2 separate regions of the Mus musculus genome follow, and region 1 is reported to be linked to region 2. Evidence: microRNA targets listed by miRTarBase, many of them from high-throughput screens and not tested one by one. Region 2 holds a microRNA gene; the other region holds the end of a gene's coding sequence.
The links. Region 2 holds the annotated microRNA mmu-miR-872-5p (AAGGUUACUUGUUAGUUCAGG, at 2,744-2,764, shown strand). A microRNA usually pairs through its seed, bases 2 to 8, with sites in the 3' UTR of a target mRNA and lowers its output. Matches are read on the target gene's strand: a 7mer-m8 pairs with bases 2 to 8, a 7mer-A1 pairs with bases 2 to 7 and ends in A, and an 8mer does both.

Region 1 (4,000 bases), not on the chromosome of region 2:
TTAATGAAGGTGGTGGAATATAGTTCCTCTACCAATATGAATCAGAGAGCATTTAATCATACTCTTAAAATGTAACTCTGGGTCACAGTCTTCATGAATAAACATTTGCTATAACCACTAAGTCTAAGAGAACACAGATGACCCCCAAACTTCACTGTGAAAACTCAGTTTCCTTACCCCTTAAAGAGCACTGGGCTGCGTAAGGTTTGTCCTGTCTCATACCATCTCCTCCTTTGAAACTGAGCCATGTGTTTGAATGTAATTGGTAGGATATGTAAATTGTATTTGATCTATTAGGACACTGAGAACGGTTCCGTTTCCCTAAAAGCTTTCATGTGCGGTAGCTTTTAACTGAGCTCATTGATGAAGGCTTGTAAGTTAAATGCATTTGCGGGGTATGTAATGGACGCTTGTAAACGCCAGCCTCATCCTCGGCTCAGCTCAGTCTTCCTCCCCTTCTGTTTCTCTTCCAGGACAGAAGGGTATAGAAAAGTCCCCTATCACTACTATGAACAAGGGAAAGATGAGTGTAACGAATATCTTCTCCATGAACATGCCCCGTATGGGGGACACAGGTTCATCACCGAGAAGAAAGTGTTTGCCAAGTGGGCCAAGAAGCACAGAATAGTATTCACACACCCGAACTGGACGCTGTCCTGATGCCGTGCTTCCCGACCATGACACTGCAGCTGTGGTGAAGAGAGGCTGATGGTGCTGACGGTGTAGGCAGGATGTTCAGGGTGTGACCATGGCCCTGGACATTCTCTGGTGTGGATACTGACTCTGTTAGTAATTTGAACTTGGCGTTCCATGGGAGGCGGTCATGTTCATTCTGATCTTTCTGGTGGTTCGGCCCTATCAATTGCACTTTAAAACTTACCTACGGTTGAAATGAAGGCCAGTGACCTGATGGCTGTGACTAAAGAAAACACGAAGATTACCTTTCAAGATAGCTGCTCAGAATTCTTCAAGAGGCTTCCAGAAGTGACGACTTCTGCCTGCTCAGGCAAGCTTACTGAGTGCACGGGCTGCTCCCCATCTTGGAAAATGGTGGACTATCAAACACTGTCCCAAGTCATCCTTCAGGGTATAGATGTCATGCCACAGTTACCAGTCAGCCTGATAGAGGGGAGGTATCTCTTTCTGATATGCCATCTTCCTTCCATATGTCTCTCAGCGAAAGCCTCAGGCCACCTACCTAAATGTAGCAATGAAGGCATTCTGTAATTCCTGCGTACCAGGATTACTGGACTATCTCAGAGACTTAATTCAAAATGTATCAAGTAGCAAATATTGACAAATTTTCACTCAGACAGCTGTGCTCTCACTACTCAAAACAATATAACTAAACATATTATTACAGTTACCTACGTTAATGTTTAGTTATTTTTGGTTGAGTGCTAAGTATTAACATGTTAGATATACTTCAACACTGTAATAACACATACTGTGAAAGCATTTCTTGAGCATAACCAAAGGGTTTCTCTCTCTGCTTCAGCACTCAGTACCAACAAATGAGATGCTTTTTGAATCACAAAACAGGGAAAGCAAGACATATTTTTGCATCAATTTGTATCCTATCATATTCATAATATATATTTTTAAATTCAAATTTCTATTTTATAAGCTGAAAGGGTATCTTTCCATATACATTATCAATGCCAAGTGCCAAACACTCTTTATACCATCAAACCCAGGCTGAGCTTTTGCCTTCATGGGGTTGACCATCCCTTAGGTTATCAGATGTTCTGCTAGGACAGTAAAATGGTGACGAGCTTACTTCCCAAAGTGCTTCGCTATGCTTCACATATGCTGTGTGCCATGTGACACCCACGGCCGCCTCACTGGATGATTGCCGGCACATTCTGCCACCCCCAGCAGCTGATCTGCATTGTTAGCTGTGTTCCTGTGTCCCAAGTTGCTCTGCCTCAGAATATATGTATAGAGTAGCATTTGTGTAAATTAGTATATGATTGAGTTCTCTGCCAAATACAGCAGAGATTATACAAGATGACCACAAGGATGGCTGTGTCATAGATCAGTACCCTATAAGCTTAGATACTTTTAATGTTTTTGTTTCTGTCAGTGGCTCTGTTCCAGGGCTCGGGGACAATGGATAGGAATGGAAGCAGAGAAATACAGTTCCCTGGTCTAGGCCTGAGACGGCTTCCTTCTCCGTAGATCAATGGTCCTTAAATATTAGAAGTTGGTTTTCTGAGACACTACCAAGCATCTATAAATATCTTGGCACAACAATTCAAAAGCTAAAACCAGGCTGCATTTAATGTTTTAGAGCTGGAAATAACAATACACCTCAGCTGTAGAACCTTGACAGGGCTAGGACTAAAGGCCATGTGACGTGTGACGTCATTAAGATGTGCATCTTTCCTACCCTACACTGTCACACTGATAGACATCCCACACCCACACCCACAAGAGTTACCCAGCCCCAGCCTCATCCCTGGGAGGAGTGGTTATTCTATTGTTTGCTTATGTGACTTTTTTTTTTTAGTTCTATGAATGTTAGATTTTAGAGCTGATAGTGATTCAAGATGCCCACTTAAAGGAAAATAAATAATAGCAATGTTAAAATTTCAATGTGAGCGTTGTTTTCTCTCAGTTGTGATGCAGTTCTGCTTTTACATGAAATGAACACTCAGTTATCTGAATGCCTTCAGGAGTGTGTAACCTGATTTGTGTCACTGCCCAGTCAGTGGTGGGCTAACTCTATTTTGGTGCTTACAGATGAGAGACTCAACAAACATACTCTCCTGCCTCCCTAAAGAGAGCTATAGCTTCCTCTTGTGTGGGCTTTCCTCACACTGTGTGTGGAAAAGGCAGCGTCCAAATTTAAGCCTGCAGTCGTCTGGAATGGCATAGACAGTGGCCCTCACCCCCCTTCTCTCTCCCTCCCCCTTCTCTCTCCTTCCCCCCTTTCTCAGCTCTCCTCCTTCTCTTCTCTCTCCTCCTCCTCCTCTTCTCTCTCCTCCTCCCCTCTTCTTCTCCCTCCTCCCCCATCCTCCTCCCTCCTCTTTCTTTCTCCTTGTTGTCTGTCTCCTTTTTTGCAAAGTATGAAACCAAAAGCACTTCATGAAGACCCAGTTGAGTGCCTTTGCAATGAGGGCTTTGACCAACGCTCAGGAGTTGCTTTCCTCTGAAGTAATACTTTTCTCTGCTTCCATTTCCTGTCCCTTTCTTCCAGCCTTAGTTCTGGTAGAAATGCAAAGTCTAATTTCTCCCATGTGAAGGAGAAATTCTCCATCTTGGACTTGGTGAGAGAGTGAGACAAGTGGGTGGGCAAGGGCGAGCATTAGTCAAAGCTCCTGTTGGCCCTGCAGGTACTAGTCCACCGAAAGATTTTATCCACACCCAAACATTAAAGTTAAATGACCTCACTCAGCACTGCTACATAACTACCTATATATTAATTAATATTTATGAAAAGAAAAATGGAAATGTACACACAGACACCACAACTCAATGGCATACAAGAGAGTGAGAGACTCTGGAGTACTCTATCCTAAGAAATATTTTTAAATAAAGTCATAGAATATTATTTCTAATTCTTTAGAATCCTTTTTAAAAACAATGGAAAATGTAAAGTATTTAAAGTCTCTTTGAAGTTAGCCTTTGAATAAGTCATATTGATGTTGTAATTGACAGATGATTTTTATCTTGGCGACAAACTATCAAAAATGATAATTAATTTGAAGGTATGTTTGTCTTTATGAACATGAAGTCCATTTGTGCATGTAGTACATGAATGGGCAGTGCATATATATGTACTTACAACTGTATGAGAAAGCATGCATATGATTCCACAGCCTTTGCCGATGTGTGACTCATAGAAAGCCTTATTTTAGACTTCAGCTGAAATTTGTTGGGTTTCATTTTGAATCCTGAAAAGGAAAAAAAAAAAAATCCAAAGTAAATGCGCTGATTGCCGAGTGTGTATGAAATCACACCGCATGGCTGGCCAGAGGAATAAAGCCAGAGAAGA
Region 2 (4,544 bases):
TGGTGCCACTCCTTGGTCCAAGAATATACAAATCATCACATTGTATTAGATGTATTTTAACCTTTTAATGATGTTCTGGTAGTAGAAAAAATTTCAATTTGCTGATGTTCATTATGATTTTTTTCCTTGTGTTGCTTCTAAAATTCACTAATATTTTTAACAGGTTAACAGATATAAAAGAAAAAATAAACCAATTTAGTGAAGAAATTAGACAACTTGACATGGATTTAGAGGAGCACCAAGGTAATGTTTGTGGTATATTTTTTGAGTTTTTCAAAATGCGATTAATACGCATCTGAACAGATGCGTATTAATTTGTAATCTTAGTGACTTTTATTATTTAGATAAATATAATACTCTATGATACGCCCAACTTAACTGAAATATATATACCGAGTATTATAAATAGTGTAAAAATAATTACTTGATTAAAATTTTAAGTAACTTAATGATTGTATAAGATAAGTACCTAGATTTTCAAAGGATTCTTTTTTTTTTCTTTTTTCTTTTTGTGGTAGAGGAGAGGATAATCAGGTAACAAATACTTCAAGTAGCCCAGAGAGGCTTCGTTTCCTGGTTGAGCTCAGTTGTGAGAGAGCAAGCACTGTTCTCTATTTTTTCCCCAGCCTAGGGTCCTAATGGTAGAAATTCTGTGTGTATGGGAGAACTGTGGGCATCATAATTCTCAGCCAGATTACTCTTGGTATAGATTCCCTGTTTAAAGACTTCATAGCTTACCTTCAACTGATAAATTTGTTCATGGACTAACCAGTATCAACTATATATTATCAGTAGTGGAGGAAAATCAGGATAATTTACCAATGAATGATAAGAGACATTCACAGTAGGAAAAATAGTATCCTTAGTCTTTGTTTTTACTTTTATTTATTTATTAAACAAATCTTTAATAAAATTTATTTTTTAGATTTTCTGTACATTGGTGTTTTATATGTCTGTCTGTCTATCTATCTATCTATCTATCTATCTATCTATCTATATCTTTGTGTGAGGGTATTGGATCCCCTGGAACTGGAGTTACAGACAGTTGTGAGCTGCCATATGGGGGCTGGGAATTGAATACCTGTCCTCTGGAAGAGCAGCCCGTGCTCTTAACCACTGAGCCATCTCTCCAGCCCTTTACTTTGATTTTAAAGATAGTATTCATGCCTTTTTGTTAATCATATAAATACTACTTGTTTTGTTGATAAATCACTTACCTGGATAGAATACTCTATAAGAAATCTTTGAATACTAGCTAATCCATTTTATAACCATGAAAGCTCAGGGCAATTAGTAGTTTGCTAAATTCTCCAAGTTAGTAGTAAAAACTAGACTTAAACCAAAGGTTTTCTGATGATAAAGTCTTAGTTCCACTGCCTAAGCATAAGCTTGACTTTCTGATTCAAAGCATTTCATTTGTGAAATTAAAATATGTTCTTAGAAACATATAGTTATATCTACATGAAGTTACTAATGGCATTAATAAGACTTCTAAAGGCTTAGGTAAGTAAGCTTGACTATGCTTTAGTTTTCTGGTTTGGGAAATGAGCATCATGGTAATGTCTCACTAAAGTTTATGTATTAAGTAGCATTTGTGACAAAGGTAGGCTCATAACAGTACTAAGGTCATATTAAATTTAAACTGTATTTTTCATTTGTTTTTGTAATTGAAAAGATTATATATACTTATTGTTTGTAGCATGTTCTGAAGTATGTATATATTTGAATGGCTCAGTCACTTTACATGTTGTTCATTGAGAGCAACTTAAATCTACTTCTCATGATCCTCAAGCATGGGCCACATTGTTGCTGGGCCTGGCAGCACACACCTTGAATCCCCTCACTGAAGACAGAAGCAGGAGTGTACCGGTGAATTTGAGCACCACCCCCCTTCGGATTATATAGTGAGCTCCAGGACAGCTAGGAATACATAACAGAAACTCTGTAATGAAAGATCCAAGGGAGAAAAGAGTATATTTACACTAATGTTGTACAGTGATCTCATCAATTGATTCTCAGCTTATGGAATTTTGTGTCTTTTGTCTATGTCATTTCCTCTCTGTTACTTTTCATATATGTAGATCTATTTAGAAAAGTCTGATGTTTTTATTTTAGAAACTTTACAGATTGCATCCTAAATAATTTTCTTCCTAAATTATAATGTATAGTGTTTAGTTCATTCTCCTAAAATGATGCATTTGGGAAGTAAAATTTATTAATTGAACTTGTAATCCCTACCTTGGATTTATGCTTTCTAATAAAGTAGTAGATTATTTTTTTGTCTACATCTGCATCTTTACCTGGGATGGTTAATTTTATTGTCAACCTGATTTACAAAGCACATAAATTAATAGCATATCTATGAGGTTGTTTTCTATGATGACTGCCTTAGGGGATAAGTGTGGGTAGCAACATTCTATAGAATAGAATAGAATAGAATAGAATAGAATAGAATAGAATAGAATAGAATAGAATAGAATAGAATAGAATAGAATGCAGAATGCTTTGGGTTTTGCTTCTGTTTTCTTTTTTTGTTTCAAATATTTTTATTAATATAGAATAAGCTAATTCTGAGTAACGGTGCTATTAGGACATATAAGCATATATAAATATATAAACTGTGTGTATATACTCACAGGTAAGTGTATTAATACATCAGTGATTATTGTTGCCACTTCTCTGCTCTGTGATCATCCTAATTTCTGCGACAACACAGGGGGTTGTGTAGATGGTAACTTGTTAGAAGGTTACTTGTTAGTTCAGGACCTCATTACTTTCTGCCTGAACTATTGCAGTAGCCTCCTAACTGGTTATCCCACCTCCATTCTTGCCCCTTCTAAGTTTTTTTCTGGTATAATGCTGTAAAAAAATGATTTGTGTAAAATATGTCTTGGTGTCCTTGTCCTGCTTAAATATGGTTCACCATGATGCACAAAATAACAAGTTTTATATGTCATATTAGTTCTCTACTGTGACTCTGTCAGCCTCCATTTCATCCCATAGTCATCTCTGGGCTCTGCCTCCCCTTTAAACCAGTTCTTACACTATAGCTCAGGCTTGCCTAGAACTTGTTGTATAGCCCAGACTAGCTTCAAATTCACAGCAATCCTCATACCTCATCCTCCAAAAGAAGGGATTACAGATAGGAACCATCTTACCCAGCTCTGTAGTAATTTCTTTCTGCTACCTTACATTTCTCCTTATTACCATTCATTCAACTATTTTATGCTCTAACCTTTTGTTTTTGTTGTCTTCTGTTTAACTGAATGTTTGTTGTTCTTCTTGTCTTCTGATTAAATTCTTAGCCTTTAACATTTAACTTGGCATCCTCTTACTCGACAAAACTCTGAACTTCTTCCCTAACTAGTTTCTAGGCTTAGATGAGTAACTGTCCTCCATGTTACCGGAACAGAGAATGTTTTACAGTTGCCTACTTAATTTATTTGTCTTCCCTCTTAGACTGTAAGCCCTCAAGGGCAGGGACTACCTCTTAACTGACTTTAGTAATCTAGTTCATCAACACAGTATCTGGGAAGTAAATGCGTTTTGGATACCCTAAACAATCCATAATTTAAGAAAGAAGGAATTGTACAATGAACAAAGGTGAAAATTGAGCTCTAATCTCTTCTTTGGGTCCTCTTATTTTAGGATCTAAGTGTGTGCTCTTCAGAAAGCTTGAGTGCAAAGATTTCATTACTTTCCAGAGGATCCCTACCTTGGATTCATGCTTTCTAATAACGTGGTGGATATTTTTGACTCGTGATATTTTAAATGAGAACAAGATCATGCATATTACATTCTGGCAATGAACTTGTTGGTCTGTGCTTTTTGTTCTGAGATTCTGTGTGATGCCTAATGCTAAAGGACTGACTAGATCATTGTGGAGAGGAAGTTTCAGGAGAGCTCAGGATACAGGCGATTGTGTAGGTTATGCTAGCTGCTTTTGCCAAGTTGGCACTAAGAACTGTGAGCAAAATCCGAACAAAGAGGTTTGAAAACTTGCCCTGTATCCAGAATACCATATAAATTTAGGGCTAGGGAAGTGTGACCCTTCTAATATTTTCAAGATTAGAACAGCTTGAACCACCAAATAAAAACATTTTTAATTGCTATTTTTATTTTTTATTTTTATTTTTTTAAGGTTTATTTATTTTATTTATATGAGTACACTGTAGCTGTCTTCAGACACACCAGAAGAAGGCATCAGATCTTATTACAGATTGTTGTGAGCTACCATGTGATTGCTGGGAATTGAACTTAGGACCTCTGGAAGAAAAGTCGGTGCTCTTAACCACTGAGCCATCTCTCCAGCCCTACTTCTTTTTAGTCAAGTGCTTGCTACATAGCCCACACTGCACTCAAAATTTCAGTAATGTTGGGAACTCAGCCTCATAGGTGTGAACCAAATGATTACTTTTTAAAGTGTTGCATTTTTTTTGAATTATTTATTTTATGTATATGATTACACTATAGCTGTCTTCAGACACACCAGAAGAGGGCATCGGATCTCATACAGATGATTGTAAGCCACCATGTGGTTGCTG

Region 1: miRTarBase lists St6galnac3 as a target of mmu-miR-872-5p. Seed matches in the 3' UTR shown: 7mer-m8 at 2,685-2,691.

Annotation. Positions count from the first base shown.
Region 1 is chr3:153,202,065-153,206,064 of GRCm38, reverse strand. St6galnac3 (ST6 (alpha-N-acetyl-neuraminyl-2,3-beta-galactosyl-1,3)-N-acetylgalactosaminide alpha-2,6-sialyltransferase 3) reads left to right here. Exons shown (of 5, transcript NM_011372.2): 5 at 474-3,556. The coding sequence ends at 660. Among named protein-coding and RNA genes, the nearest start is that of Gm33066, 20 kb to the left of the region's middle.
Region 2 is chr4:94,662,424-94,666,967 of GRCm38, forward strand. Mir872 (microRNA 872) reads left to right here and starts at 2,734; the gene lies at 2,734-2,814. It overlaps Ift74 (intraflagellar transport 74), which reads left to right. Exons shown (of 20, transcript NM_026319.3): 13 at 164-243.